Rattus norvegicus: one gene and its partners. The protein of the gene in region 1 purifies or fractionates together with the protein of each later gene. This does not show direct contact. Links are inferred from orthologs where the notes say so. Each region holds a gene or a part of one and is shown in the gene's direction. Other genes may lie near its edges. The genes, in order: Ap3s1, Ap3b1 and Ap3m1.

The links.
Region 2: the proteins of Ap3s1 (region 1) and Ap3b1 fractionate together in Homo sapiens (co-fractionation; 5 studies listed by BioGRID and IntAct, counting the BioPlex papers as one, with this or other methods). This does not show direct contact. The link is inferred for Rattus norvegicus from reciprocal best matches to the Homo sapiens genes AP3S1 and AP3B1.
Region 3: the proteins of Ap3s1 (region 1) and Ap3m1 purify together in Homo sapiens (co-immunoprecipitation; 4 studies listed by BioGRID and IntAct, counting the BioPlex papers as one, with this or other methods). This does not show direct contact. The link is inferred for Rattus norvegicus from reciprocal best matches to the Homo sapiens genes AP3S1 and AP3M1.

Annotation. Positions count from the first base shown.
Region 1 is NC_086036.1:41,673,844-41,684,304, forward strand, and holds part of Ap3s1 (AP-3 complex subunit sigma-1), read left to right. Parts: intron 1-345; coding exon 346-437; intron 438-3,707; coding exon 3,708-3,819; intron 3,820-10,461. UniProt on the Homo sapiens protein: Part of the AP-3 complex, an adaptor-related complex which is not clathrin-associated. The complex is associated with the Golgi region as well as more peripheral structures.
Region 2 is NC_086020.1:27,330,609-27,341,869, forward strand, and holds the start of Ap3b1 (AP-3 complex subunit beta-1), read left to right. Parts: upstream 1-4,349; 5' UTR 4,350-4,421; coding exon of another isoform or gene 4,422-4,549; intron 4,550-11,261. UniProt on the Homo sapiens protein: Subunit of non-clathrin- and clathrin-associated adaptor protein complex 3 (AP-3) that plays a role in protein sorting in the late-Golgi/trans-Golgi network (TGN) and/or endosomes.
Region 3 is NC_086033.1:3,302,860-3,313,320, forward strand, and holds part of Ap3m1 (AP-3 complex subunit mu-1), read left to right. Parts: coding exon 1-215; intron 216-891; coding exon 892-1,063; intron 1,064-4,758; coding exon 4,759-4,896; intron 4,897-5,719; coding exon 5,720-5,805; intron 5,806-6,559; coding exon 6,560-6,693; intron 6,694-7,601; coding exon 7,602-7,809; intron 7,810-8,764; coding exon 8,765-8,909; intron 8,910-9,306; coding exon 9,307-9,407; 3' UTR 9,408-10,461. UniProt on the Homo sapiens protein: Part of the AP-3 complex, an adaptor-related complex which is not clathrin-associated. The complex is associated with the Golgi region as well as more peripheral structures.

The DNA of each region.
Region 1 (10,461 bases):
GTTACCTAACATTACTTTCCTGCTCAGTTTAGCCATTTGTAAAGCAGCAGTCTTTAACTAGCTGAGGTCTACTTTCCTTTTTTACAAGTGTGTCTGAGTGCTCTGTTTCTCATTTGGTTTTGAAGAAATAAGTTGCTTTCATTGTAGTAGTAAACTATAATGATTTTTCCCCACTTCATCAAAAACTTAGTTTTTGTTTCTGTAATTTGAATCTGTTTTCCAAGGACCCTTTCCCCCTTTTCCAGATTTTTCCATATTAAAATTACTATCTTTTATTTTCAGAATGTCTTAAAATACTGTTAAACCTGTAGACTTGATGTTAATACACATGAATTCCTTCTTCAGAGTGAAGATACGCAACAGCAAATCATCAGGGAGACTTTCCATCTGGTGTCTAAGCGAGACGAGAATGTTTGTAATTTCCTAGAAGGAGGATTGTAAGTACAGCATTTCATGGGTTTTCTAATTTCCAGTGTGAAATGACAGTCTGTACTGCTATTGATGATGAAAATTCCTCATTATAATTAATTAAATTAGGTAATTTTGTTGCTACCAGTATTAGTTTTAACTCTAATCTATACACTTTTTAAGATATGCAAACTTTCTAAATTCCTTGTTATTTTATATAAAGTTAATATATTCATATAGTAGAATTTACTTATTATAGGTAAATATAAATTTTTAAAATAATTTTTCTCTCCCGTCTTAGTTCTTTCCCCCAGTTTCTTGTATATCCCTCTAGAAAGTGCATCTTACTTTTCATGTCTTTGCCTGTTGGGTTTTTTGGTTCAACATTTTACCTATAAATACATCTGGAGAAATGGAGCTCATTTGGTAAAGATGCCTGCCGGCTGCCAATCCTGATGCCTGAATTGGATCCCTAGAACCCATATAATAAAGAGAGCTTATTCCTCTCTCTCTCTCTCTCTCTCTCTCTCTCTCTCTCTCTCTCTCTCTCTCTCTCTAAAATGGGTATTGTATTCCTAGGGTGAATACACATAAAAATTCAGATCATATCCTTTATTTTATTATAAACAGTGTGTCTTTCAATTATGTCTATGTACTTATATACCACTAGTATAGATTCAGCTGGTAGATGTTTCTATTTTTAAAATGAAAAAAAATCTTGCTAAACTAAACAAACATTGAAAATATTTTTATTTTTATTTTTCATTGTTTGCAACATTGGGAATTAAACACAAGGCTTTCTGTATGCTAGGCAAGTGCTTTTCTGCTGATGTCCATCCCTAACTCTAAATAAATACTTTAAAATGAATGGATTTTATTGAAAGCAGCTTACTTCTAAATATTTCTAGAAATACTTTCTCCCCAATTATATAATTAATACACTTAATGAGAGTTAATGCTAAGAATCAGCTTAGCCTCATGAATGATAAAATGCATATTATAAAAAAAAATTGGGCAGCAGAACCCATTTTTGTCTGACCATAATGTTTCTTTTATGTGGAGAGTATATTTGTGCATCATCAGCTCCTTGTCATTGTTTGCATTTAAAAAGTGTTTTATCATGCTGTACTTAAACATGAAATGCATATTTATGATTTGTAGATTTTGCTGTTAACCCCACTCCAGACTCTAATTTAATGGCCAAGGCAGCCACTTGTGTTTCTGTTAGATCTCGGTAGGAATCCAGTTGTCTCTGCCATAGGCATTGCTTCTCTCTCTCATCTTTGTACCTTATCTCACAGACTGCTTCACCTTGCATAGTGCATTACACTAGGTAGACTGATCCAAAGAGGGTCCTGTTTGGATAGAATTATACCTTGAAATTGAGATTCTTTCCTAACCATATGAAAAACAGGAACCAAATACCATGTCTTTCTGTCTTTGTTATGGTTCTGAGTCTGGCTAGCCAGTTTACTGGGTCACGTTGTTCAAATCCTTGGAACTTCATTTTCGTCTCCAAAGAATCTAAGGAGATATCAGAAATTAGCAATTTCTATTTGTAAAATTTTACATACTGTATATCACCTCTGTATTGTATAGTGTTATGGTATCTTGACACAAACTAGAGTCCTCAGAGAGGAGGGAGCCTCAGTTTAGAAAATGTCTCCATGAGATCCAGCTGTAAGGCATTTTCTTAGTGATTGATGGGGGAGACCCAGCTCATTGTGTATGGTGCCATCTCTGAGCTGGTGGTCCTGGGTTCTATAAGAAAGCAAGCTGAGCAAAACAGGGACAGCAAGTCAGTAAGCCCCTCCGTGGCTTCTGCATCAGCTCCTGCCTCCAGGTTCCTGCCTTGAGTTCTTGTCCTGACGTCCTTCAGTGATGGACTACTATAGAAGTGTAAGTCACCTTAACCCTTTCCTCAAAGACTTGTGTTTTGGTCATGGTATTTCATCATAGCAATAGAAACCCTTTTCTATTAATGGCTACTTTGTAACATTTTTCAGAAGCATGGTCTTCTTTTAAAACATAAACAAACAAAACCTAAAATGAATTTGCTGATGTGCTCATTTTGCCCCTACAGTGAACAATAGTAACTGTTGTCATAACCAATCTCAGAATATTTAAAGTGCACATAAAGACTTTTAAATTAAACTCTTTCTAGACAAGTAACCCAGCATAGTAGGAATCCCTCATTTTTTCCCCCCAAGATAATTTCTGTTTTTGTTCTTACAGGACAAGAGAGAGTATGTACTTAGAGAAGTAGTTCTTTAGAGCTTATGAGTTTAGTGTTATGTTTACAGAATAGGAAAAATGCCACATCCTATATTGCTGAGAATGCTTTCTTAGTTTTGATTATGTATGGCCTGGTTTTAAATTATGTTAATGTTTAAGTAGTCTTGAGAATGTGAAATTGCTATTATAAACTTGACTATTATACAGCTAAAATATATTTGGAAAAACATAAGATGTCTCAGATGACTACTAAATTCTTTTAAAAACGCTAAATTCTAAATAATATGAATATATGAATAAAAGTATTTTATGAAAGGATTGAATATTAGCATGGTATTCTTACATTTAGATTTAAGAAAAATGTTTTTGGAGAGTGTCATGATACTACGTCTATTTAAAGCTTAAAAAATACTTTTTTTTTTCCTAGCTGATGATCAGTTTTAAGCTGTGGGTTTTACTGTGACTTATGAAGTTATATCTTGTAAGCACTTGCACATGCCCCGTGATCTGGTTTCTTCCAGTTCCTTCAGCCTCATTGTTTACTAATCTCTTGTTTCCTGGCCTCACATCTCATTGAAAGTGCATACTGTCTTGATGAAACAAACCTTTTCAGTCATTGCTCTCTTAGCCCAAGGTGCTTTTCTCTTCATTTTTCCATGGCTCACCCTACTGATTAGATGTCAGTCTGGATATTGCTGTCTCTCAATGTCCATTCTGAACTCCATGGATATGCTGGAGACCTGTCTTGGCTCCCTGTGTGATACCCTCCCCTACCTGTTAACTTTCTTGTCTCCTTACATGCTATAGTGCTTGACACACAGCACTTACTCAGTGAATACTGTAATGAATAAACTAACTAAAATTAAGCACTGCTTTCTTTTACTTGACATTTCTGAAGAAAATTGCTATCTTAATTTGCTTAGTTTCTGAAGTAAGTTTACTTGAATGCTACGCCATTGTTTTATTTTATAAAAGTTTTTAACAAATGTGATTTTGTTTGAACTAATGAAGTGTTCTGCATTTTGTTCCCTACACCATTTCAATTATCTTGTTTTGTCATTTAGATTAATTGGAGGATCTGACAACAAACTGATTTACAGACATTATGCAACACTATATTTTGTCTTCTGTGTGGATTCCTCAGAAAGTGAACTTGGCATTTTAGATCTAATTCAAGTAAGTCAACAGTTGCATCTTACTACCATTACTTAGGTTTTTTTATTCTATTTTTATAAACTTAAGATTAAAGTTTTATAAAACGATGTTGTTTGATAAGAGCTGTTCTATAGTAGATATTATGGGTATGCTGTGACATAGTGCCACATAAATCAAGTTAGAGGAAAGATTGATTTTGGTTCACAGTTCTGGAAATTTCAGTCTGCCAGCTGATCCCATTGAATCTAAGTCCATTGCAAAGGAGTAGCGTTGGAAGAAAGCTTGGTAGAGGTATGCTCTGTCCTCATGGCAGGGGGAGCAAAGAGGGCCGGGGACAACATAGACATTTCAAAGACACCTCCCAGAGACCCCTTCTTCAACTAGGTTCCACCTCCTGATAGTCTGTTTAGGTATGAACTTATAAGTAGATTAATTCACTTAGACAGTGCCCTCATGATCCAGTTCAAACCATGTTAAAGGGCTGTAGAAACTAAATTGATTAGGAGTAATTAAAGCTAATTTCATCATGCCTTTTTTGTTCGTGTGAGTTACTGCAAGGAACCCAAGATTGTGAATCTCTCTGCATGTGTCTGAATCTGATCTAAAGACTTGACTCTTCTGAAAAACGTTTGTAATGTCTGTAGAACTCATCAGTTACCAGAAAACTCAATTTGAATCTTACCTGTTAATGTTGCTTCAGCTCTTTAGATCTTGCTTCTTCTTCATCATTGCCTTCAACCTTCACAAGTAACAGTTTGTGCGTATATGTGTTTGCCTTTTCATATCATTGAGCCTGGAGATGTTTTATTTGTTTCTTCCAGGATATTTTCTTTTAGAACATCTCCAGATTTCATCTCATATTATCAGACTAGTCATCTTCCTACATTTTTAGTTGTATCCATCTCCATCTGTCTCCCATACTTTGGGGCTTTATTAACAAATGTAGAGGGTTAGAACTTTTGCTCTGTTTGCACGCCGATGAGTTAATCTATAGTTTAAAGGGTGATGGCAGAAGATGACAGAAGATTTCTTGCATTATTAATAACCCAGAAACATTACCCACAAAACAAATCAGCCCAAAACAAATTAGCCCAAACCCTGATAATGTTTGCCTGCATTAGTTCTCAGTTCTAGAAGGGTCAGGTGATGTCTGCACCACAGTAGATCAGATCACATAGGGGACAGACCTCAGAGTTAGGGAACTGGAATTCTTTATAATGGGTGAATCACATCTGCTCTGAAAAGGATGAGATACTCTTTAAAAGACAAGATAAGCTTATCCTTTTCTTTTAAGGAAGACATTATTTTCCAAGGCTGTTTGTCAGTGAGACAGTTTGAAAAGATAATCAAAGACACAGATAACAATTGCCTCTGTTCCCAGGATTGCAGAAACCTATACTCTGTAGACTTTTTAGAGTTGCTTCGTATTCAGTAGAAGAGGGTATGTGTGAAGTTCCGTGGGACCGTCAGTGTTCACATGTGTAATATTCAGTAGCCTCATATCTTCAAACCTGGAACCACATTCCTTCAGAGCTTTGCTTTCTGCCCCAGCTTTCTGTTCATGTCTCATTTTTATACAAAGTACTAGTCAGTCCACAATCTGTGTAATTTCTTCTCTCAGCTGCCTTCTTATCTTTCTGTTTTACTGTTTCTCTTGTTCTGGGTCCCTCAGGTTTCAACATGTCATGTTTTTCCTTCTCCCTGATCCTATTGAGGTTTGGCCTATCCTTATTCAGCTTAGACTCTATGGGTATCTTAAGCTAGACCTCACTTCTAGACCATCACAAACAAAACTGAAGCAGTCAGGAGAGAACATTGGCAGGCTCTTGCTGTCTACCTGCCTTTCTCCTGTGTGTTGTAGAAACAATGCATTCACTGTACTCCTAGCTGAGGAACCAGGCCTTCTGAGGTTAGCTTTCACTTCTCTTGCTCCAGCAACACCCCTCACTTTGTAGCATTTTATCCTCTTCTAAATCATTCCCTCAGCCAGCACTGTGCTCTTCCACCTTCGCTCCCTTTCTACTGTCTCTCTCTGTTGATAACAAATTATTTTGCTACAGAAGGAATATCTGAAACTGGTTTGCTCTCTTGCACTATTGTCGTGAATTACAGGTTCTTCCTCTGTTTGATTCAGATTGCCATTCACTCTTGATAAATACTCTACTTGATCTTGAGGATAGTTCTTCCCTACTTCTTGTCTTGGGTATCTTCTCTTTTTGTGGCTTTATTCTTTTGGTAAGGTAATTTCATACTAATAGTGTCTGTGTATTGATGGTACTAAATTTAATCTTTAGCCTAGACCTTTCCTTCGAATGGCTGATTTAAGACTCAAGTTTCTGCTGGGCATCTCCGCTTGGGTATTACGTGAAGATCTCACACTGAAATAGATCTGAAACCTGTATTTCCTGTAGTTTTTGTCTTTTTTTTTTTTAGGATTTTATTTATTTATTGTATATATATATATATATGAGTACAATGTAGCCATCTTCAGACACACCAGAAGAGGGCATCAAGAACCCATTACAGATGGTTGTGAGCCACCATGTGGTTGCTGGGAATTGAACTCAGGACCTTGGCAAGAGCAATCAGTGCTCTTAACTGCTGAGCCATCTCTCCAGCCCTGTAGTTTTTGTCTTATCGTTACTAACAGCTGAACTCTTCAAGTCAGAGCCTGAGTACTTGCTTGTTCTTTGGCCTTATTTTCTGCATTCTGCTCCATCTTAAGCAAATCCTTTGCCTGACCTCTTATTTCTTCACTGTGGTCCAAGTTACATTTGTAGTCTGACAGTTCTGACTGCTCTCTCTTTCTCTGTCTGTCTGTCTGTCTGTCTCTCTCTCTCTCTCTCTCTCTCTCTCTCTCTCTCTCTCTCTCTCTCTCTCTCGGGTCTTTACTCAGTGCATCAGTCAAGTGCCATTGTAATATGCTGCATCTCACACCTTTTATTCTAGACTCTTCATAGCCTCAGCTTTTATTGGAGTAAAAGCCACTATGTCATAGGCTACCCAGGAGCCTATGTGTGTTGACCCCTTCCTGTTGCTTGTCTTCTGTGTCCTACTCATGTGCTCAGCCTCTTGTTGATGCTACAGGCATATGCCTACTTCAGACTTGGTACTTGTTGGCTTTTATGCCTGAGATGTTCGTTCACTTGGTACTCACTTGGCAGGCTCCATTTCATTCTTCCCGATTTTGACCAGAAATGACCTTTTCAGTATGGAATTCTGTGGTCATGCTTTCTAAAAATCTCCTCTACATTTCTAACCATTGATTTGCTGTATTTTTCCTTTCCTTAGCACCTGCTATTATTTTCTATGATGCTTTATTGTCATTTACTGCTAATAGAATAAAAGCTCCCAAGAGGACCTAGAGTCATTTATTGACTTATCTACCAGGACTATATACTGTGTTGCATTAGTATTGCTGATTTATCTCACACAAGGAATAGTAGGTCTTCAACAAATAATTGTTTGATGTGTGAATAAATGAATGAATTTAATGCCTATATGTAGTATTTAGAATAAAATAACTGATAATAAGGGCAAAAACGTTAGAATAGTTATTTGGAAATGTAGCTGTCACTACATGCTATTGACATTTTCTTATCTGAGTTCTACTTGATTGGCTAATTGTGAGAATCATTAAGTCATCTATATCTATCTATCTATCTATCTATCTATCTATCTATGCATGCACACATATGTATATATATACACATATATATTTATATATATATATATATATATATAAAATATGTGGTTTTTATATTTTAAGTTTATATGTCATACCATCTCTAAAAGCTAAAGAAAAAAAGTAAATTGCATTCATAAATGTAGTTATAGGCCAGGGATCAGGTAAAAGCACTTGCTTTGCAAGCTGGCTGACTTTATTTCAATCTGAGAACAGAATCCACAGGTAGAACCAACACCATAAAGTTGTCCTCTAACCTCTAACCATGTAGCTGTGTGTGTGTGTGTGTGTGTGTGTGTGTGTGTGTGTGTGTATAAACACTAATAAATACAATTTAAAAATTAATTATTGTAAGTAGTTTGCTTTGGATCAAGATTATCAAGAGAAAATATACAGAATTTTTTTTCCTTTCTGAATAGTACACAAATAGAGATGTGGCATCAGTAAGTTGTAAGCTGGGGAAAGCTGTATGTAAAAAGATTCGTCAAATGAGTTATGATTTTTAAATCTGCAGGAAGGAAGCACTTTTTGATTTTAAATGAGAAATTACTAAGTAGAAAATGTAATCATAAATTCTGAGTGACCAAGCTTAGACATATAAGTAACAAGACTAAATAAAGCTTTTGGTATTGCTTTTGTTAGTAAGGTTAAAAACAGTATGTGCCAGTGGAGCTGTTAGTATACCACTTTACTCTTAAACTCTTTTTTTTTTTAAATTGGATATTTTCTTTATCTACATTTCAAGTGTTAGTCCCTTTCTTGGTTGCTCCTCTGAAAACTCCCCATCCCATCTCCCTACCCTGCCTCCATGAGGGTGCTCCCCCACCCACCCACCCACTTCCTCCTGCCTCCTTGCCCTACACTGGGGTGTCAAACCTTCACAGAACCAAGGGCCTCTCCTCCCATTGATGCCCATCAAGGCCCATCCTCTGCTACATATACTGATGGAGTTAGGGTCGCTTCATGTGTATTCTTTGGTTGGTTATTTAGCCCTAGGAGCTCTGAGTGGGGGGTCTGGTTGGTTGATACTGTTGTTCTTCCTATGGGGTTGCAAACCCCTTCAGTTACCTCAGTCTTTTCTCTAACTCCTCTATTGGGGACCCCATTATTAGTCCAGTGGTTGGCTGCAAGCATCCGCCTATGTATTTGTCTGGCTCTGACAGACAGCTATAGCAGTCTCCTGTCAGCATGCACCTCTTGGCATCTCCAATAGTGACTGGGTTTGTTGACTGCATGTGGGATGGATCCCCATGTGTAGCAGTCTCTGGATGGCCTTTCCTTCAGTGTCTGCTCCACACTTTGTCTCCATATTTCTTCCTGTGAATATTTTGTTCCCCCTTCTAAGAAGGACTGAAGCAGCCACACTTTGGTCTTCCTTCTTCTTGAGCTTCATGTGGTCAGTGAATTGTATCTTGGGTATTCTGAACTTTTGGACTAATATTCACTTATCGGTGAGTGCATACCATGTGTGTTCTTTTGTGATTGGGTTACCTCACTCAGGATGATATTTGGAACCCAGTTCCATCCATTTGCCTATGAATTTCATGAAGTCATTGTTTTTGATAGCTGAGTAATATTCCATTGTTTAGATGTACCACATTTTCTGTATCCATTCCTCTGTTGAAGGGCATCTTGGTTCTTTCAGGCTTCTTCTGGCTATAATAAATAAGGCTGCTATGAACATAGTGGAGCATGTGTCCTTGTTATATGTTTGAGCATCTTTTGGGTATATGCTTAGGAGTGGTATAGCTGGGTCCTCAGATAGTACTATGTCCAATTTTCTGAGGGACCTCCAGACTGATATCCAGAGTGGTTGTACCAGCTTGCAATCCCACAATGGAGGAGTGTTCTTCTTTCTCCACATCCTCAGCAGCAACTGCTGTCACCCGAGTTTTTGATCTTAGCCATTCTGACTGGTGTGAGGTGGAATCTCAGGGTTGTTTTGATTTTCATTTCCCTGATGACTAAAGATGTTGCTTTTCAGCCATTCAGTATTCTTCAGTTGAGAATTCTTTGTTTAGCTCTGTACCCCATTTTTAAATAGAATTATTTGATTCTCTGGAGTCTTAACTTCTTGAGTTCTTTGTATATATTGGATATCAGCCTTCTATTGGATGTAGGATTGGTAAAGATATTTTCCCAGTCTGTTGTTTGCTGTTTTGTCCTATTGACAGTGTCCTTTGCCTTACAGACTTACAGCTTTGCAATTTTATGAGGACCCATTTTTTGATTCTTGATCTTAGAGCATAAGCCATTGGTGTTCTGCTCAGGAAATTTTCCCCTGTGCCCATGTGTTCACTCTCTCTTCTATTAGTTTCAGTGTATCTGTTTTGTTTTGTTTTTGTTTTTGTTTTTGTTTTTTTCTTTTTTTTTTTTTTGGAGCTGGGGACCTAACCCAGGGCCTTGCACTTGCTAGGCAAGCGCTCTACCACTGAGCTAAATCCCCAATCCCCTGTGTATCTGGTTTTATGTGGAAGTCCTTGATTCACTTGGACTTGAGCTTTGTACAAGTTGATAAGAATGGATCAATTTGCATTTTTCTACACGTTGATTGCCAGTTGAACCAGCACCATTTTTGAAAAATTCTCGCAAACCGAATCCAAGAACACATCAAAATGATCATCCATCATTTCAAGTAGGCTTCATTCCAGGGATGCAGAGATGGTTCAGTATATGTAAATCTATCAATGTAATCCACTATATAAACAAACTCAAAGAAAATAACCATATGATCACCTCATTAGATGCTGAGAAAGCATTTGACAAAATACAACACCTCTTCATGATAAAAGTCCTGAAAAGAACAGGAATTCAAGGCCCATACCTAAACATAGTAAAAGCCATATACAGCAAACCAGTAGCTAACATCAAACTAAATGGAGAGAAACTTGAAGCAATCCCACTAAAATCAGGGACTAGACAAGGCTGCCCACTCTCTCCTTACCTATTCAATATAGTACTTGAAGTCCTTGCCAGAG
Region 2 (11,261 bases), on another chromosome or scaffold:
TGTGTACAGCAGTAGGTTGCTGACTAGATAAAAAAGCCTCATCTAGGGGTTGGGGATTTAGCTCAGTGGTAGAGCACTTGCCTAGCAAGTGCAAGGCCCTGGGTTTGGTCCTCAGCTCCAAAAAAAAAAAAAAAAAAAAAAAAAAAAAAAAAAAAAAGCCTCATCTATTAATAAAGAGAACTAAGGCTAGACAGAATGTAAAATGGAGTAGGATTATTACAGTGGGAAAGAGCGAGCTAACCCAGGGATGCATTTCGAATATACCAGGGATAATTGGTGGTGATTCATAAGTGTTTGGAGAAGGAGGTCAGGTCTAGGAATAGAAGTCTAGCTGGAGAACGGAATTCCTGCTGATGGCAGACAGATGACCACCACACCAAGGGAGGGAGGGATCAACTTTGATTAGATATGGAGGGTGGAATATTCTTGCTAAAAATAACTTTACAAAGAACTGAGATAGATGTAGGTCCAGCAGAAGTCAGAAGGCTGCAAAGTTTGGTCAAGAAAAGAATCTTTTTCATTAACAAAATAAAATAATATGTCGATATTTAAAGCAAGGTAACTCTGTGTGGCATATGAGAGACAAAGGGGATGGATAAAGAGACCTAAGAGAATACAAAGAGGAAAAAAATAAGGTATAGGGCTGGAGAGGTGACTCTGATTAGGAGCACTAGGTGCCCTTCCAGAGGCCCCCGGTTCTGTTCCCAGCAGCTACATGGTAGCTCACAACTGTCTGTAGCTCCAGTTCCAGGAGATCTGACACCCTCAGACATACACAGATGCAGGTAGAGCACTATGCCCATAAAGTAGCTAAACAAATCTTTAAAAAGACATAAGATGACATTGATTTTAATTTGCATTAGGAGAAACACACACACATATTGTGCTTGGAGAACAAGTTCAATACATACAAACGTTTTTCTTTTTTTGATACAGGGTCTTGATATGTAGTTCCAGCTGTCCTTGCATGCACTGTTATATAACACAGACCTTGAACTCACAGAGATCTGCCTGCCTCTGCCTCCCAAGTGCTGGGAGTAAAGGTGTGGGCCACCAAGCCCAGCATCCAAATTTATCATATATTAGCATGATGGTTTAGATGAAAAAAAATGGAAATCAGAATATTACATGAAGGTTTTGGTGAGTATTGCAGAAAAATCATGGAAAAATAACCTTGTATTTTTGAAAAAAGTATTTATTTCAACACACACACACACACACACACACACACAATGTACATGAGGGTAGGAAAGAAATCTGGCTTAGGTTTGGTAATAGATTTGATTCTTTGGTTCTTTCTCAAGTGTTTCTTCTGGACAGTTAGCATTTATAATTTTTTATTAGAAAGCTTTAGGGCTATATAAAAGTTTTAAATTCTGGAGGAGTGGAAGATTAGACTTCTGCATAGGGAGTTAAAATTTTACTCTTTCTGTACAGATAGACAATCTTATAATTAGGGAGGTCTAGGTCTCTCCTTGTCCACTTCCTCATGTTTTCAGAATGTGCTGGCTGGTTTTATGTCAGCTTGACACAAGCTCGGGCCACTGGAGAGGAGGGAACCTCAATTGGAGACATGTCTCATGTTGTGGTGACTGCCCCTCCCCCCATCAAATCATTTTTGTTGCTACTTCCTGAATTTTGTTACTGTTATGAATCGTAATGTAAATTTCTGATAAGCAACACCTGAAGGGATTGTGATCCACAGGTGGAGAACAGCTGCTGTATGGGGCATTTTCTTTCTTTTTTTTTTTTTCTCTTTTCTTTTTTTTTCGGAGCTGGGGACCGAACCCAGGGCCTTGCGCTTGCTAGGCAAGCACTCTACCACTGAGCTAAATCCCCAACCCCTGGGCATTTTCTTACTTAGTGATTGATGTGGGCCTACCCCACCATGGATGGTGCCATCCCTGGCTGGTGGTCTTGGGTTCCATTAGAAAGCCGACAGCGGGGGCTGGAGAGATGGCTCAGTGGTTAAGAGCACTGACTACTCTTTCAAAGGTCCTGAGTTCAAATCCCAGCAACCACATGGTGGCTCACAACCAACTGTAATGGAATCTGATGCTCTCTTCTGGGGTGTGTCTGAAGACAGCTACAGTGTACTCATAAATAATAAATAAATTAATTAAAAAAAAAAAGCAAGCAGACAGCGCAAGCAATGGAGCAAGCCAGTAAGCAGCACCCATTCACTGCCATGCATCAGCTCCTGCTTCCAGGATCCTGTGAGTTCCTGTCCTGACTTCCTTTAATGATGGACAGCATGAGGAAGTGTAAGCCAAATAAATAAACCCTTCCCTCCCCAACTTGCTTTGGTCATGGTGTTTCATTACAGCAACAGAAACAGAGAAGGAGAATTTTATGTTTTTCCAAAGGACATAGGCTTTATATCTTTATAAAATATTCCAGGAAGGAGGAAAAAAATAAATTACCCAATACTGTTTCTTTTTCTTGAGAAACATAACAGCTTTGACAGCCCGTCCCATTCCAAGGACAAGCTAAACAGAATAAAGCAAGACTTCCCCCACAACTTTCCAAAGCACAGGTCAACTGTTTACACGAGTCTGTATGAAAACGAAACAAAACAACAACCAGTGAAAATCCAGCAGCTTGTTAAAGAAAGAGAGACTTGAGAATGAGTCCTTTTCAAGTGGGGTGTGCTGGTGCACCGCAGACTTGGCAGCTTAAGGCAGGAGGATTGCAGGTTCCAGGCCAGGCAGGGCTACAGAGTGAGACCCTGTCTCTAAAAACATAATAAACCTTTTTCATAAGAAAATGAACTATTCGAGATAAATTGGATTAACAGGTTTGTGTGCAATTCTAAGACAATAAAAAGCACCTGGGGAGGGGGAAACACATGAAAGATAACCATATTCATTATCGACATGAACATATAAATTAATTATAATACAAGTATCTATATGACATTTATGACAAAATTATGAGAATGTGAGGAAATCCCTCTCATTCATAAATGTTAGGAAAGCAATTTAGAATATCTAATAAAGGTGTATATATTCTAAAATTAAAAAATTATATACTCAGGTCTATTTTGTAGTGAGGATGTGTACAGCATTGCCATTACTTGACAGATAAAGTAAGCAAGTCCTAGTGTCTTTCCGTAGTAAACGAATTAATTCATGCACACCACTTAGAATAGTGTATGGGGTATAAGTTAAGCATCATATAACATCATATAACACCTCATCACCGTCGATCAGTCGTAGGAGAGATTCCACCAATATCATCTATACCGGGAAGCAATGTATTTGAGATGCTCTAACACACATGTTATCTGGACAGGTTCATTGAAAGGTTAACTAACTGCCAACATTTGATCAGTTTGGAGGCTCCTCTCCCTCCTGGCACTAGGGAGGATCATGTTTTCAGAAAGACGACGCGATATTTCAGTCAGGTAGAGAAATATTGGTGGGACCCGGGTTGGTGTTTGCCGGGTGCTACCATTGGGTTTTGGTGATTGTCTGTCGGGCTCCAGGTATTCAGTCCTTTCTGGACCGTAGGTGTAGGGAATGAGGAACGAAGGAACCATAGTCACCAGGGAGGCCGGCTGGTGAGGCTCCTCTTAGAAAGCTGCCCGGGGCAGGAGGGCTGCAGCTACCGCGACCACAAACCATCCCACCTAGCTGCTTAGGGGATGTTGGAAAGTTATTTGCCAAAGAGTGGGAGCAGGTGGCTCCCAGAGGCGAGCGCACTCCGGCACCTCGCCGAGGCGCTCGGGGCAGCTGACTGCGGGCAGGACGCACGCCTAGAACTCCAAGTGAGAACCTCAAGCCCCAGGAATACTTAGCCAAAGCTTGCCCGTGGATGATCGCCTCGGTGCAGAGCCTGCAAGCCTTCCCGGGAGGAGGAGCTTTCAAGTCTAGAACGTCAGTGGTCTGGCCACGCTGGCTAAGAGAGGGGCGGGAACCTGCCCTAAAGGTTGAGAACTCGTGACCACCGAAGCTAAATTCGTCTGGCGTGTGCTCGGTGTTTCAGGAGGATTCCGGGAGCGATCAGCGGACAACAGAAGTGAAGCAAAGAACCTTGAAGGGTCTGAGATCTCCTCCAGCAAAACGCATCCAAGGGCCTCAAATCCAGTACTTTACTTGCCCACTACCCTCCGGCAAACTCGGTGCAAAAACCACAGCTTCCTGTTAAGGGTCTCGGGTGCAGCTTCCCGGCGGCCTCTAACACCCGGAGCGCGAGAATCCAGCGCTCCCGGAGCGGCAGGCGCCGGCCCGCGCGGACTCAGTGCGCACGCGCAGGGGGTGGGCCGCCCGGCCGGCTGGAGCGGTGACGAGCCCGGAAGCGCCGGCGCGCGCCCCCTCCGCACCAGAACTAGTTTTGTTCGGTGTCCTCGGAACGCCAGCCACCCGGAGAGAACCCCGCAAGCTCCCGCCCGCACCCGCCCGCTGGCCGGCACCGCCGCAATGTCTAGCAACAGTTTCGCCTACAACGAGCAGTCCGGAGGAGGGGAGGCGGCGGAGCTGGGGCAGGAGGCCACCTCGACCATCTCTTCCTCGGGCGCCTTCGGCCTCTTCAGCAGCGATTGGAAGAAGTGAGGACCCGGGCTCGGGGTGCGGGAGCGCTGCGGGGACGCTAGGCGGCCACCCGGCTGCTCTCGGTTCCGGAGGAACCTCCCTGCGGTCCCCGCTGCAGTGGGTGGGTGGGTGGGGTAGCCCCGCCGGCTGCGGGGCTTGTTCGGAACGTCTGGGGACGCCAAAGGCGACGCCGGTGGTTTTCAAACTTTGGTGGGGGAAAGGAAAACCGGTTGTTGAGCTGAGGTTCCACTTCCCAAACCGTTGACAGAGTTGATCTGGGCTGAGCACAGGAGCTTGAATTTTGAACTAGTGAATCAAACTAGTGGACAGGATCAGACCTCGAGAAAGTCATTTATTTAAAGGTGACGAGAGTATTTGGGGAAGGGGGTTGAGAGTGGGCCTGCTGCTTATTTGGACCCTGCAATATAAGGACTAAGAGGTGGGGTTCTCTATGAATGACAGCTTTGTTTTTTTAAAACCCTTTGGCGTTTTCTTACACCGTGATCTTTGCACCAGAGTACTCTTTCCCCCGCCCTCTAAGGCATTGAGATAATATTTAAATAGAGTGTTGCTGTGAACCAAACCTAATTCTAGTTATTTACAAATAGTATGAATTTTAAAAATAATCACTAACCACTTTTGTAAACAGTTACTTAGGGTTCACAGCAAATACCGCCCAGAATTGAAAACATCCTTAGCGGATTCAGTTTTAGTTTAGTTTTTTTGTGGGGTGGGGTGGGGTGGGCTTTGCTTTGTCGTGGTTCCTCCCCACCCCTTGCTTTCTGACAGGGTCTCACTATGTAACCTTGGCTGATCTGGAACTCACTAGGTAGAGCAGGCTGGCCTGAAAAATCAGAGAAATCCTCCTGTCTCTGCTACCCCAGTGCACAAACCACCATGCCATTTTATGTTTTTCTTATTTTTGATCTCTTATTGTTACATAGTGCAGGAAAACATAATAAACCGTCACTTAAGGTAAGGAAACTGGACTGATAGTCTTGTGGGTGTTAAGGGGTATAATTAAAATAAGAATTTGTGGATTAGACAGCTCAGGCTGGTCCCCAACTGGAACTTGCCATTCTCCTGTGTCTGCCTCCCAGGTGCTAATAGTTGAAATTGAGGTGAAAATTCGACTCTATTGACTAACATCTTGCATAAAGCATATAAATTATTTGTGTTCATTATTTCCAGGATATGAATGTTTAAAACATGATTGCTGTAAATCTGTCTTTGTGTGCATTTGTGTGACTGACTGATCCAACAAGGCGTTTATTATAACTACATTTCCCTCAGTAGAAGGTTTCAGTAGTTGAATTTGCATGTGACTTGTGTACACTTAGTCTACTTTTCTAATCTCTAAGCATCTAAGGTGTTTTTTCTTTCCGGCTATGTAAAATTTGGGAAGAATGCATGCCTCACAGCTGAAGTTAGGGTTGAAGTAAAATGAGCGAACCTTGAGTGCTTGTGCATGGACACTCATAATTAACATCTTCAGTGTGTTTCTGCATGCCGGGGCCTTGCCTAGGCCAGTGCTCTGCCACCAAGCTACATCCCTAGTCCTCAGTCTTTAGTGGGCTGTTCCTAGTACTTCCATGATTCCACTTTAAGGGTGAGGAAACGGGAGTCTAGTTGGTTAATTTGCCCAAGGTCACGAAGCTGTCAAATTTGAACCTAGACATTATAATCTCAGTTCTTTCTTTTTTTTTTTTTTTTTTTTCAGTTCTTTCTTTAATGTGTTTGCGTATGCTATTAACTCCTTGAAATCAATGCTATTTTTTCTTTTCTTTTCTTTTTTTTTCCGGAGCTGGGGACCGAACCCAGGGCCTTGTGCTTGCTAGGCAAGCGCTCTACCACTGAGCTAAATCCCCAACCCTGTTGTTTTTTTTTTTTTTTTTTTTTTTTTTTTTTAATTAGGGAATGCATACAGCTCACCAAAAGTTTAAAGTTTTGCATAGTAGCCATAGATCCTATATGACTTCTGGCTTTCAGGAACTGAAACATTTTGGCTACTGAGCTGCAGTTTAATGGAGTCAGTCGTGTAGAAAGCAACAGACTCCTATTCTGGAAGTGGCCACCTAGTCTCTCCTGAGCTCTCATTAAAAACATTTGTCTTTCAAAATAGGATCTCACTATGTAGCTCAGGCTGGCCTCAAACTTGTAATCCTTCTGCCTTAGATTCTTGAATGCTTGGATTTCTGGGTGTGACCTATCACACCTGGACATTTTGCTCCACTTTTTAATGGATTACTTTGTAATAGCTTCTTTTCCTTTTGTCTTTGACTTTAAAATCATTTCAGTTTTTATGCCCCCAGCATTTGTCAGGAGAACCACTCTATGTAAAGTCACTGGTTATCATTTTAGATTTTACTTTTTCACTTGCGTTGGTGTGTGGGTTTGTGTGGTACCCTCGGAGGCCAGAAGAAGGCCTGGAACTGGTGTTAACAGGCATACGGTGCTGGAACTGAAACTGGGGTCTTCTGAAGATCAGTGTGGACTCTCAGCCGCTGAGCTCTCTCTCCAGTCTGGAGCCACAGTCAAAACAGTCACTGTGCTCCCCTGCCCCTCCTGTCTCCTTCCCTCTTCTCTCTGCCTTACCCCTTTCCTTTCACATTCACACACACACTTCTCTACACACATGTCACATGCATTGTTGTCTTCTGAACCGTGGAGATTATGTTTAGATCGTGCCCTTTACCCTTAAAACCTTAGTATCTGTTTTTGGTAATAAAAACAGTCCCTTAAGTCGTCAGATATGATCAAGGAGTTAACACTGGTACAGGAGATATCGTGCTAGTCAACAGGCCTTTGCTGGAGTCCCATCATCTTTGGGTTTGAGTTTCCGACACTGATTTGAGCACAGTGTCGTAATGTGTCATCTGTTGTGCCTAGAGACACAAGGTACCCAATCTTCCTAAGTTTCCCAGTTAAGGGCTTTTCTGGTAGCTTGATTTCTATTTTTACCCCCTTCCCCAATCTGGGTTTCTTGGGAGATAGCTCGAGACCATTTGGCTAGCTTTTACATTAAAGTCTTCAGCAGCCAGCCATGAAGTTTTTGTTATAGAGATGGGCCTCTGTGTGTGTGCAGGTAAGTGTAGGTGATTAAGGAGGGCAGCAGAGGGCAGCAGATGCCCTAGGGTTGGAGTAGGCGTGGCTGTGATGTGGATTGGTAGCCTAAGATACAGTCTCCTGAACCTGCCTGCTGCTGTGGCTGAGTGGGGTGCCCTGCTCCCTGTGTCCTCTGCCGTGCACTCTCTCGTTGTGTGTTCTTTAGTACTTCACTGACTGTTCCAAATACGTCTAATCTCTTCCTGATCAGTCACTGATTTTTGTTCTCAGACTCTATTTGAAATTTTGTAACCCTTCTCATCCTTCAAACAAAACCAGAACGGGAAGCTTACATTGCCTATGAATGCATATCCCCCTCAGCATATAGCTTTTGTGAATCATCCCAGTGCATTACTTTACTGGCCTTACAATGTTCTTCACTTTTAAATGTAAAGAGCTAACTTCTGCCCCCTGGCCCCCGCCGCTTTATTTTGGAATAGTCTATATTTCCATTGCTTTTAGTTATCACCTAAGTCATTTGTCTTTATTTTTCAAAAAAAAAAAAGAAAAAAGAAAAAAAAAAGAAAAAGAACCTTCCTTACCTTAGTCCATTTGGGTGTATATATAAAGAAATAATTTCAATTTCTTCTGGCTTACCATCTAATTGCAAAGTAGTTTCTAGATGAAGGGTAAGACTAGTCAATTTTCTGATTTTCTTCTGAATTTCTAAGTGTCTTTTTATGTATCTCATTAAAAAAATTAGAGCAATCATTTAAAACAATTTTATTGCCACGCAGTAATTTTATATATGTGTGTGTGTATATGTATATACATATATATATACACATATACATATACATATATATATTTATGGTGTTCATGGTGGCATTTCAACATGTGTATACATTACAAACTGATCAAACCAGGGTAAATTAGCAATTCTGTCTCCTTATTTTTTTTGTGTACAGCCTTTGGCTCCTTTCTTGTTTCTCACAACTGTGAAGTAGTTCATTGAGGATTATAACTGGCTTACTGTACTATGGCAGTGTCTTAGTTACTGTTCTGTTGCTGTAAGGAGACACCATGACCAAGGCAACTTTTGTAAAAGAAAGCGTTTAACTGGGAGTTTGCTTCAGTTTCAGAGTGTTAGTCCATGATCATCCTGGTATACACAGGCCTGACACTGGAGCAGTCATTGAGAACATCCCATCCTGATCTGCAGGTAGCAGGCAGAGGGAGCAAGACTGGTCCTGGTGTGGGCTTTTGAAACCCTAGAGCCAGTCCCAGAAGCATATCTTCTCCAGCAAAACCACACCTTCTCTAACAAGCACACACCCGATCCTTCCCAAACAGTTTCACGAAGTGGGACCAAGCATTGCACATACGAGCCTATGGGAGCCATTCTCATTCAGACCATCACAGGGGACTAGAACTCCTTTCATCTAACTAGTTTGGTAGTCATCCAGCTCCTCTCTTTTCCCCTCTCAGTTCAACAGAAACATACGAGTGATTGCAAATGTGTGATGCTGGTTATGCTGGAGCACAGGGTTTCCCAAGTCTCCCCTTCCTAGAGAGCATTGTGCTATTAGAGAGTCACAGGAGGCAGAAGGTTTAAGTTAATGCTTTCCAGTGATAGCAGCTCAGCTATCACTCTTGCTCAGCTTGGTTGAGTTCTTCACATTTCCGTTTCCTTGTTTCTAGAAAGGCGTGGTAATACTTGCCTGTTCTGGGAGATTTTTTGTAAGACAGCGTATTTAAAGGAGAGCTCTCATCTTCCCTCTCCCCTTTCTCTTTCTCTCCTTCCTCTTTCCTTCTTTCCCTTCCCTGTCCATTCTTCCTGTCTGTCTGTCTAGAGCTATGATCTCCTATTGTTCAGGCTGGCCCGGAACTCACTGTGTAGACAGATTAGCAGTCCTTTTCCCTCAGCCCCTCTGTAGTCCTGGGATGACAAGCATGAGTCACTGTGTGCAGAAGAGGGTGAGTTTTCTTTCTTTCTTTCTTTTTTTTTTTTTTTTTGGTTCTTTTTTTTCAGAGCTAGGGACCGAACGAGGGTGAGTTTTCTAACCTAGAATCAAAACTAGGAAAACGTGCCAGAGTGCCACTGAAGTGCTGGTGCTGCAGCCTGAGGTCTGAGGAGCCTTGCCACACGGGTGAAAGAGGGAGCTTATTTAGGGCCAGAGAGCTGCAGGAAAGGACCCACATCCGAATGAAAGCAAGGTGGGCCTCCATGTTCTCAGCAGCAGCTAGGGAAGCTTGGGGGTGGTTGAACCACCCAGGCAGACTGTTAGAAGATGGGCAGTGCACATAAAACCCATTTGCCTCTGAATAGAAGACTCTGGAAAGAGTGCAGGGGGTAAATGGAATGGAGGCCGCAGCGGGCCCTTGCATGTAATAATTAAAGATTAGCAACCAGGAATTCAGCAATCCGTCCCTACTGACTGAATTACATTGAAAGGTGAAAGGTTTAGCCCTCTGCTGATGTTGGAGTGGATTTGTTACTTTAGATTCAAAGAGCATTTTTAGAGACTACCTGAGGGCTGCCTGTTTTCTCTGTTTCCCTGAAATGGGAGTTAGATTACGTGCGTTATCATTACATGCATTACCAGCTTTGTGGTGGCAGCTTTGAGCATTCCCTCCCTCCCTCCGTTCCTCCCTCCCTCCCGTCTTTAATCTCAGTGCTTCTCACTGCTGCTGAGTCTGGAGACCACACTCACCTGGTTTGTATGAAGCTCTCACAGGCCCAGCTTTATCTCTCCCGTTTTGCTGTCTTTCAAGAAGTTAGTAGACATGCGCCTAGTGAGACAGTCTATTTAGAGGATGGCCTTAAGTATATTTTCCAAAACAAGCCAGTTCTAGGTGTCAGTAAAACATTATTTTGACATAGCTTAAACTGTGTCACTGTGTCACAAGATGAGCTGTAAATGTGTTTATGCAACTGTTTCCATTTCTATCTATATGTTAGTTTTATTAGAATCTGTGTCATGTTTTTATTTTTTATTTAATGCTTCTTTATGGTTTCAGTTGTCCCCTTTATTCTTACTCTAGTGTTTCTGATCGACATGTTTACTTTATCCAGTGATTCTGTGGCCTTGGCATTCTAGGAACTCAGTGGATATTTGTTAAACATTTATCAAGAGCAGTGGTTTTCAATCTTCCTAACACTGTGACCCTTTAATACAAGTCCTCATGTTGTGGTGACCCCCAACCATAAAGTTACTTCATTGCTGTTTATAACTGTAATCTGCCTGCTGTTAGGAACTGTAGTATAAATACTTGATATGCAGGCCATCTGATACACAATCCACAGGGAGAGCTGCTGACTTGGAGAGATGTCTCACACATTGTAATACTAAGTGATATAATTCATGTGGATCAGGAAAGTATTTTTGGGTTCACAGTTTTGCCTGATGCATATTTCTGTGTCCTTTTACTCTGCTCAGGGATTCAGAGTGCATTAGAACTTACTGTCTCAGTGGGCAGTGCTGTTCAGAAGTGGAGACTCAGAGAGAGAGAGAGAGAGAGAGAGAGAGAGAGAGAGAGAGAGAGAGAGAGAGAGAGAGAGAGAGCAAGCTCGGCAGTCGAGAGGGAGCATTTGTGCTCTTGTAGAGGGCTGCAGTTCAGTCTCCAGCACACATGGGACTCAGTCCTGTAACTCCAGCTTCACTTACTTGACACCTTTTTGTG
Region 3 (10,461 bases), on another chromosome or scaffold:
GGAAGAGCGTTGTAAGCCAATCTGTGTGTGACTATTTCTTTGAAGCTCAGGAGAAAGCTGCTGATGTTGAAAATGTACCACCTGTCATTTCAACACCTCACCACTACCTCATTAGTATCTACCGGGATAAGCTCTTCTTTGTGTCTGTGATACAGACTGAAGTGCCACCTCTCTTTGTAATTGAGTTTCTGCATCGAGTTGCTGACACTTTTCAGGTTTGTATCTGTCAAACTGTTGAAACTAAATCACCCAAGATAGTTCAAGGAGACAGACAGACAGACACACACACACACACACACACACACACACAAACACACACACACTGGTTATTGAAGTTTCTGTGTACTGTCTGACTTCTCTTTGCAACTAAACATATCTCATAAACACGTGCTGAGGGTATACGGTAGCACACATCGCCACTCTACTCATTGTTTTTTATGTGCGGCAAATTATATCATGAGGAGACAGGAGTGCCCTCCAACAAGTATTCTCTGGATCATCACAAAGTTTTTATTGATCATGAGATCCTTTATATTTCTGTTGTCTATTTCCTATTGTTTTGACGAGTAAACCAAATGGCTTAAAGCTCTGTAAGTGTGTGGGTGTGGGTTAATAGGGCAAATGAAGTTTATGCCTCACATTCCAGATTAATGTCTCAGTACTTTCTGGCATGATATAGTAGGAATCAGCTCAGTATAAATACAATAAGAAAATATTGAAGAGAAATGTTAGGACTTCCATAGAGAATTTTTTTCAAGCCTATATATTTCTAGCCTCATTAACCATGAGTTAACCTACTATTAGTTTACTCCAGTAGTTTACAAAGGGGATTAAGAACAGCAAGCCTTCCTCCCTGCCTTCTCTTGTTCAACACCATGACTGTTTTGTTAGGACTACTTTGGTGAGTGTTCAGAGGCTGCAATTAAGGATAATGTGGTCATAGTGTATGAGCTCTTGGAAGAAATGTTAGACAATGGATTCCCACTGGCTACCGAATCTAACATTCTGAAAGAACTGATTAAACCACCAACAATTCTACGTTCTGTCGTCAATTCTATTACAGGTATGAAAAATGAAAACACTGCTAGGAACTGATCCATTGAAACTGTATGAACAGCTCATTTTGCTCATATGACAGACTATTAGGGCAGTCCAGTTTGGCCAAAATTAAAGTTAACAATAATGTTTAAATGAATGTATATCTCTTCTCTCTCTCTCTCTCTCTCTCTCTCTCTCTCTCTCTCTCTCTCTCGGTGTGTAAGTGTGTGTGCACATGAATGCACACATGCCATAGTGTACACATAGAGGTCAGAAGACAGTGAGAGTTGGTTCTCCCCCTCTACCACATGCAATCTGGAGATTGAATCAGGTCCTAAGGCATAGCATCAAATGCCTTTACCCACTGGCCCATCTGGCCAGGCCCCCTTTTCTTTTGGAAGGTGGAGAACAGTAACAGAAACAGATAATATGTCAGGTGCAGCTCACATGTGTAATCATATCACTTGGGAATTGCTAAGTTCAGGGCCAATTTGGTATATAGAATGAGAAATTTGTTTTGTTTTGTTTATTGAAAGAGGCTCAGTCTTGAAGGACAAAGGACTTTTAGGGTTATACAGCTCATTTTCCTGTTGCTGGGTTCAATGCACAATACTTCAGAGAAAGAAAAACTAGTCAGTAGAAAATTAGATCATTAGTAGATGTCATGCATATTGGGCCTTATGCTTTTTTATAAATAAGCTTTCAATTGGGTATAATTCTAGGCCATATCTAGAAATTCAGTATATTCAGTTCATCCTTCGATTAAATCTACAAAAAGCGGGCATGGTGGCACAAGCCTTTAATCCTAGCATTCAGGAGAATTTGAGACCAGCCTAGTCTACAGAGTGAGTTCCAGGCTAGCCAGAGCTACATAATGGGATTCCATGCAAAAGAAAAAAAAGTCTAATAAAGGAAGATTCTTACTGAATGCTATATACCTCTCCAGCCAAATCTCTGGTTGTCCTTTTAACGTTGGGGAATTACACTCTGGGAAAACGGTTTAAATAAGAGCACTGTGGTATTTCATGGACACTGTAGTGAGGCACTGCAGATCTCTCACAGTACGAAGTGTGTTTGGTGGGGGAAACAGTACAAACTCGATAGATACATAGGTAGGTAGGTAGGTAGGTAGGTAGGTAGGTAGGTAGGTAGGTAGACAGACAGACAGAGAGATAAGTAGGTAGACAGACAGGCAAGCAGACAGACAGAGAGAGAGATATTTACAAAGAGAAAAATGCTAAAATGTTCACATTGACTATTTTTAGCTAAGGAGCCAGCCATCCTCATTTTTGCCGTATATGTTTTAAAATATATATTATGAATGTGTGCATGTGCATGGAGGACATTAGGTGTCATGTTCTGTTGCTCTCACCCGAGTTCTTTGTTGAGGAGAAGAGGTCCTCTGAACCTGGAGCTAGGTTGGCTCCCAGCCCTAGCCATGTGCGGCACATAGCCACATCCATCTTTTTATGTGTGTCCGGGGATCTGGCAGGTCCTCATGTCTGTATAGCAAGCACTTTTATCCACTGAGCCATCTCTCCAGCCCATTTCATACTTTTTAACTTTTAAGAAAAAAAATGGATAGGAAAAAATTACTAATGTGTAGTGTAAAACTATAGCATGGGATGATGACATATAAGAGAATTGTTCAGGCTGGATGTGGTGTGCACACCTGTTATCCCAACTACTAGGGCAACTAAAGGAGAGCAGTTGTAAGTTCACGGATACAGAGTCTTGATTATTAAACTAAAACCCTGAGTCTGTTTCCTAGTGCCACACCTATGTACACATACCAAAGAATGGTTCAATAGTTGAAGTAATCTTTCTTGAACTACCAAGTGGCCCTAGCACAGGACCCAGCAGAATCAGTAGAATGTGGAGTAAGATAAGTAAGAGCACTTATGAGGAAAATACACATAAAGTGGGAGGCTGAGCTGTGTCAGCCCCTCGAGCAGAAGTAGAGCTGTTCATAACTGAGCGCTGAAGGACATTCGGAGAAGGTGCAATTGGCCTACGCCTCTTCCCGTCCCAGCAGGACAGGAAGCCAAGATGGGAGAACACTTGTGCTGGGCCTAAAAAAAACATTTAACTTTTATCAGAAAACAAGCAGGGAGCACTAAAGGTTTCTGAACAGGGAAATAATATGATTAAAGCAGTGTTTTTCTAAAACACTTGGAAAGTAACAGGCTGGAGACAGGATCACCAGCAATAAATAGACTAAAACTAATGTTAATCTTGTTAGCTGCACACACTTCTCTAGCATTTGGGGGGCTGATGTGGGAGGATCCCCAGTTCTAAGCCATCCTGGACTATACACATATCTTGTCTTTAAAAACTAATCTAGAGTGGAATGTATTGTGTTGCTGTGTAGTCAAGAATGACTGAATTTGCAATCCTCCTGCCTCCACTTCCTCACAAGTGCTGGGGTTAAAGTACACACTCCACCATTCAATGCTGGACTTAAAACAAAAGGTTTTATGCATTCTAGGCAAACACTCTGCCTGTTACATCTCCAGCCCTGAAACCATATTTTATGTTTGTGAGGTGCTTTTGTGTGTATTTTGTTTTGTCTTTAGAGACAGCTCTCCTAAGCGGCTCAGGCTGGCTTTAAACTAGTGATGCCTTGGCCTCCTAAGTGTTAGAATTACAGGACTGTGCTCCCTGTCTTGTTTCCTGTCCTAATTTTTTATTTATTGCTTTATGAAAACGGGTTTTACCGTGTAGCTGTGCGTGGCCTGGAACTCACTCTGACCAGGCTGGCCTCAGACTTCCTGTTGTTCTCTTACTTTGTCTCTCAAATGCTAGGATTACAAATTCCAGCCCTACACCTGGCTTTACAGCTGTAAGAAAATCATAATTACCAAAATAGAAACACATTGGTAAATGCTACTTATGGGGGGACTATTTAAAGAAACATGCCTAAATGTTAACAGTAGCTGGTGTTAGTAATAGGAAACAGATTTTTGTTGTTGTTTTATAAATTTACTGCTTTTTACTGCTATGCAAATGTGTTACTTCTGAATTAAAATGTAAACTAAACAAAATGTTTAGTAAATCTCAGTGGAAGGGTCTCTGTTGAGATAACCATACATACAGTTTTCCAGGAAGCTAGTCAGATGCTGAACATTAGATAGACTGACTTTAAGAAAGGAGTTGGGCTTTTTGTTTGTTTTGTTTGTTTTCTTCGCTCTGTTTTGTTTCTGCGGTGCTGGGATTGAATACAGAGCCTTGCACGTGCTAGGCAGATGCTGTGCTGTAGAGCTGCAATCTCAATGCTGATTTAAAGTGGGAGTCAACAAAAGTATGTGCTGTGCCTGGGAACTCCACAGACAGTGGCAGTGCCTTATGTAGAGGAGCCAGGTTCTCAAGTCTTCTCAGCGGACACTTCTCATCAGCAGGGGTGTGAAGTAGCCCCCCCTTTTCATTGCTGGCAGCAGGACAGAACTCTTGTTGAACCACTGGAATCAGGTCAGGTTACTGCTAATAAACAGGAAGCAGAAGAAAAGTGAATGCCTTTATCTTGGTCTAACTGGTAGACACAGGGGCCCATGGCCTGTCTCTGGTCTCTGGTGTAGAATGTGCCTCCAGCATTCGAGAGCCCATCACAGCTGCTATGAAGGAAAATCCAAACATAAGTAGAAACTAAAGCATTCTTTTCTTTTCATAATCTTTCTAATAACCTTACACACACCCACTGTAGCTCTTCTTTTCTAATCCTAGGCAGTAGTAATGTTGGGGACACGCTCCCCACTGGGCAGCTGTCCAACATCCCGTGGCGTCGAGCAGGTGTAAAGTACACCAACAATGAAGCCTACTTTGATGTAGTCGAAGAGATAGATGCGATTATAGATAAATCAGGTAACTATGTACATGTGGTCTTCTGGGGAAAACTTCAGTCAATACAAGTTGAATGGAAAACTGAAATAAATCCCTTAGCAGGAGTTTTTCAGCAGAGAAACATTCATTTTCTATGATGTATAAATTCTTTTGTTCTGCCCAAAGGCTACATGTAATTATCACAACTACTGGTTGAGATATTGCCAGATGTTTCTAAGTCCCTCTTGCAGTTACTCATCTGACAGGTATTACATATCTGTGGTACCCATGCTTCTCCACTCTGTATAGCGTTCCTGCTAAAGGCCTCTTCCGGTTGGTTTTAACCAGAGAAAGCATTGGTGGTAAATATTAGAATCATAAAGTTTCATTTTTGAAACCTCTTATTCTATGCTCACAATGTATACACAAAACCACTGAGACTCAGAACTGTGTGACCTGCTCAGCCCCATACAACTAGTTGGTATATGGGAATGGGTGACAGGTATTGTCTTGTCTTCTCCCCACTCTAGCCCAAGCCTATAACTTAGTCCATTATGTGAAACCTGCTTCATCTTTAAATTGTGTCAAAATACTTTAAACTTCTGTCCAAATAACCTTACACAGTTGACTCTCTAAAGGTTTGATCTTTCTTAGAATAATTATACTCTAGCTAGTTAGGTGTAGCCAGTAAGAAACTGTTGAAACTGGTGTAATAGGTCTGAATCCATCCTCTGTCCTCTCACCTGTCAGTGAGGTGCACAGCCTGTGAGTCTGACAACCAGAATGTATTTCCATTTCTAGATACAGTGATAGCTCTAGAGAGGACCCAGATTCCATTAAGGTTATCAGCTTTTTCTTTCTTTAGGATCTACAGTCTTTGCAGAAATTCAAGGTGTCATTGATGCTTGCATTAAGCTGTCTGGAATGCCTGATCTCTCTCTCTCTTTCATGGTAAGTTATGATCTGTTCTATAGTCCCTTGTATGCATAATACATTTGAAATGCTAAATGATGTGATAATTGCTGAAATAAAATTGTTATCTAAAATTTTACTTATGTCGTATTTATGTGTGTGTCTGACTTGGCATGCATTTGCCAGGGCAGACATGTGGCGATGAGAGAACAACTTCTAGGAATTGATGGTCTCCTTCTACCATGAGGATCCTAGAGAGCAAACTCAGATCCTTGGGCTTGGAAACACCCTCTACCTTCTAAGTCCAGCCCTGGAGTGTATATGTTAGGTTACAAAGGATTATCTCAGGAATATTCCTAGCATAGCTTTCCAGACAGTAGTTGACAGGTGAACATGGCCTTGATGGAAAGGTCAGAGAGATGTCTTCACCTAGAATATGCTAGAACTGGCTGTGGATTCGCTGTCTGGCTTTTGTGTCTCCACTGTCGTTTTTCCTGAGGATTGGCTTTGCTTGTGCAGAAGGCCATTGATACTTGCATTGCTTTAGATGACACACTGCTGCAGACAGCGGAGGGAAGTGTGTTCTGCTTCCGTCTCTGTTCCCAGTGTCTCTTGACTCTCTTGAAGCTCCGTTTTCATCGATGGTTCCATAGTTTATTACCCTCAGGGAAAGTGATGTATGTAAAATGTTTGCAAACTCTAACAGGTTACAGCACTGTAAGGTGATTTAGATGTAAATCCTGCTGTCATACTCCTTATAGTCTCTGCATATGGCTTTTTCTCTTCCTTACAGAACCCAAGGCTTCTAGATGATGTCAGCTTCCACCCATGCATCCGGTTCAAACGCTGGGAATCTGAGAGAGTTTTGTCATTCATTCCTCCCGATGGAAATTTCCGACTCATATCATACCGCGTCAGCTCACAAAAGTAAGTTAATGCATCAGCTAGCATTTGCAGACACAGACAATTTGAATAGGATTCCCGGTTCTCATTTCACCTTTACAGTTTCGTGAGTTTATCAATGCTCCTTTAGCCCTGGCTCACGTAGAGACCTAGTGAGAACTGGTAATGATATGTACCCAAAACAGTTAGTGTTTCTGAACCTGGAAGTGTAGAAAAGTAGTGAGAGAGAATAAGTTAAAATCTATGACTAAGAACAAGCCTTTGGACTATGCATGACCTGGGCAAACCAGGAACTCAGTACCATAGTCACTATGGTCTGTAAACTAACAAGACAGGAAACCCTAAGACATCCAAACGACCTGCTTCAAGTCACCGTTCTCTACACTGAGTTTGGGTTTCGAGGTGGTTCTTGTTTTTAAAACGGTGTCTTAACTTGTTATCCAGGCTAGCCTCAAACTCTGGATCCTCCTGCCTCAGCTTCTGCCACCACATTCAGCTTGCATTGAATTTTAAAGTTTAACATTGTCAGCTGTAGATAACTTGTCCCTTAAAATTTCAGAAAACATTGGGGTAATAAAACAAAACTGAAGCTTTTTTCTGAGAAAATATTTCTTAGTGCTTTAAATTTTTTTAATGGGCTCTTTCTTTAATTTTTTTTAAACTATAACCCTTTATCTCAGTTGTTTATATGGTATTTAAAGGAGATTTCTGTTTTGGTTTATGTATTTGTACCATACCATACAGTTCTAGCACATTGGTACCAGAACTTTAATGTGCTCAACAACCCTAGTGCATAGCTTAATCTGCTAGGATCTATGGCCCTGTGGCACAGTTACAGAGATCATGGGACACATACTACATCTAGAGTGGTCCCATTCCTCTCGTTGTATACCTAATGTTCTTTTGTATCTCTCTCTCTCTGTCCTTTTTAGTCTAGTGGCAATCCCAGTGTATGTGAAACATAATATCAGCTTTAAGGAAAACAGCTCTTGTGGTAGATTTGATATAACAATTGGACCAAAACAGAATATGGGAAAAACGATTGAAGGAATCACAGTGACTGTTCACATGCCAAAAGTTGTGCTGAATATGAACCTGACACCAACACAAGGCAGCTATACATTCGATCCAGTCACCAAGGTACAGGCATTTGGAATCAAGAGTGAGACGTGTTCTGCTGTCTGTTTTGTGGTTGTGGGTGGAGGTCATAGTAGTTAGGAAGCAGGATCCTTACCTTGCTTACACATCTTTAGCTAAGGGTTTTCAGAGATCTAGACAAGATGGTTTTCCCTCAGCTCCCTTGCTTCCTGCTTATGTAGGAAACGTAAGTTTTCAGCAGAATAGAGTACTTGATAAATGCGGTGTGCTGTTTTGTTTTTGTTGTTTTGTTTGAAATGGGGGAGAAGAAGGTCTTACTTGTAGCCCAGGCTGGCTCAAAGCTACTTGCCTTTGCTCTATGCTTAGTAAAAAGCATGTTCTACCACTCTTAACTGAGAAGGTGTGATTTTTTTTTTTTTTAAATAAACTCATAGAGCATTTTTGAGACAGTTTCTTGATGTAGTTCTGGCTGTCCTGGAACTCACAGACACTCTTGCCTCTCCTTTCAGAGTGCGGAAGTTAAAGGCATAGGACATTAAAAGATCCTCTAACCTTGGGGCTGGAGAGATGGCTCAGGGTCTAAGAACATACACTGCTATTGTAGAACAGTCGTTTGGTTCCCAAAAACCATGTTTGAGGTACACAGTTGCCTTTAACTCCAGCTCCAGGGAATCTGACACTTTCTTCAGGCCTTTAAGATGTAACATCTTAAGAATTCAAAGAGCCTCTCTGGGGACCCTGTAAGTGTGAGCAGGCGAGTCCACGTCCTCAGTCAGCCCTTCACCAGAACTGCAGCCATGCTTACATCGATTGCTCAGGCCCACACAGGCCATTTTGCTGTAACTGAACGTTTAGTGATTAGAACAGAAGCCAATTGTCTGTTCCAGGCTTCTCCTGTTTTCCAAGACACTGCTTCATTTTGTGTAGTTTATACCATCTGCTGACCTCTGAGCATGTCTGTAACACAGTTCAGATTTTTTTCTCATGTCTTTTTAAGGTACTAGCATGGGATGTGGGGAAAATTACTCCACAAAAGCTCCCAAGTCTTAAAGGACTGGTAAATTTACAGTCAGGAGCACCCAAGCCAGAAGAGAACCCAAACCTCAACATACAGTTCAAGATCCAGCAGCTTGCTATTTCAGGTAACAACACACTTGCTGTGCATTGTGGGGAATTGGGGATAGGAGTGTAGAAAAGCTAACACAGGAGCAGCAGCAGCCATTTGGGAGCACAGCTTATCTGACGCTCTTCCATCACACATACCTCACCTCGCCTTCATTCAAGAGTTGGAGAAACTGTCATTTGTGTTCACGAAAGTGGAATTAGCTCGTTTCGTGAGCGTGTTTCTGTCCACAGGGGCATCTTAACTAAGGCCATGCTCCCTAGAGGACAGCATGTGGGTACTAGAAAAGGGATATTGTTTCCAAAATGATGAATGGAGCACTGTGCAGGGCACATGGAGGGCACAGCGTTCATTGCCAAACAAGTACTGCATTATTACTCGGGTAGTAATTATTTGTTTCATTCTTTTTGACACAGGCTTAAAAGTGAACCGCTTGGACATGTATGGTGAGAAGTATAAGCCATTTAAAGGAGTCAAGTATATCACAAAGGCCGGAAAGTTCCAAGTGAGGACATGAGAAGAGGCCAGACTTGCTCAAGATCAGTTTGTTTTGCAAGTGTCATTGCGGTTTCTTACTATTAGGTACCAAGTGGGTGGGAATAATATAGAGCATCTGGGTCAAGCTACCCTGCTAACAAAGTTGCTTAGTAATGATGTAGGCTCCTCAGGAGCTTTAAGCTAAGGAAAGTTTTCTAAAGACTTAGCTTATTTTGTATCTTTTCACTTAGGAAAAGGTTTAGGTGATTTTTTTCCATGGGGGCCACCAGCTGAATGCTGCCCATGGTAACAGTCAAGGCAGAAGGCTACAGTGATAACCTCTCTCCTAAAGCAAGTGAACTGGTCTCATCTTCCAGCAGGAACTGTCTCAGTCTATGAGGTGTCAGCTGTAGCCAAGGGTCACACCTTCTGATCTTAGCCATCTCAATCAGTGTCTGTCCCAAGAGAGGAGATTGCCCCACCCCAAGAAGTTTACAGAAAACTGCCTCTTCAAGTGTTTGCCTTACTCAGCTTTTCACTTGTGCCATTAAGCAAGCACTGTAGCAAAAGCCACTTCCACATGGCCCAGGCAGGGAGCCCTGCAGCTCCATGCTCCATTCTCACTGTACTTGGTATTATATTTTTTATAAATAAGATTTTTATGTAAAGCTCAGATTTTGATTTACAAGGACCTTGCTGCAGTAAATATTCCATCAATCTTGTGCCACCAGTTCAGCTGTTAGATAGCACAGTCAAATCATTTGCATCAAAAGGGCAAATACTTTATTAAGATAATGAAAGGGAACACTACTTCTGCTGTTAGGCACAAGTGTCTGTGCTTTTAAACAAATTCAAGTAGTAAAAGAGAAAATCAAGCAAAACCTTTGCCATTCTCGTGTTTTATTAAAGCTTTATTTGGTGCCACTAACCTAGTTAGCTTGAAACCCCAGTTTAACAAAGGGAAGGAAACATGCATTTCACTGTTACTCTTCTCCATCTTTTATGCTGTTGTTCTTAAGTAGTTGAGTTTGCCTGTGTGCCTGCAGAGCGCCTTTTCGTACACCATACATTGCAAGGCCAAGGGGATAACACCT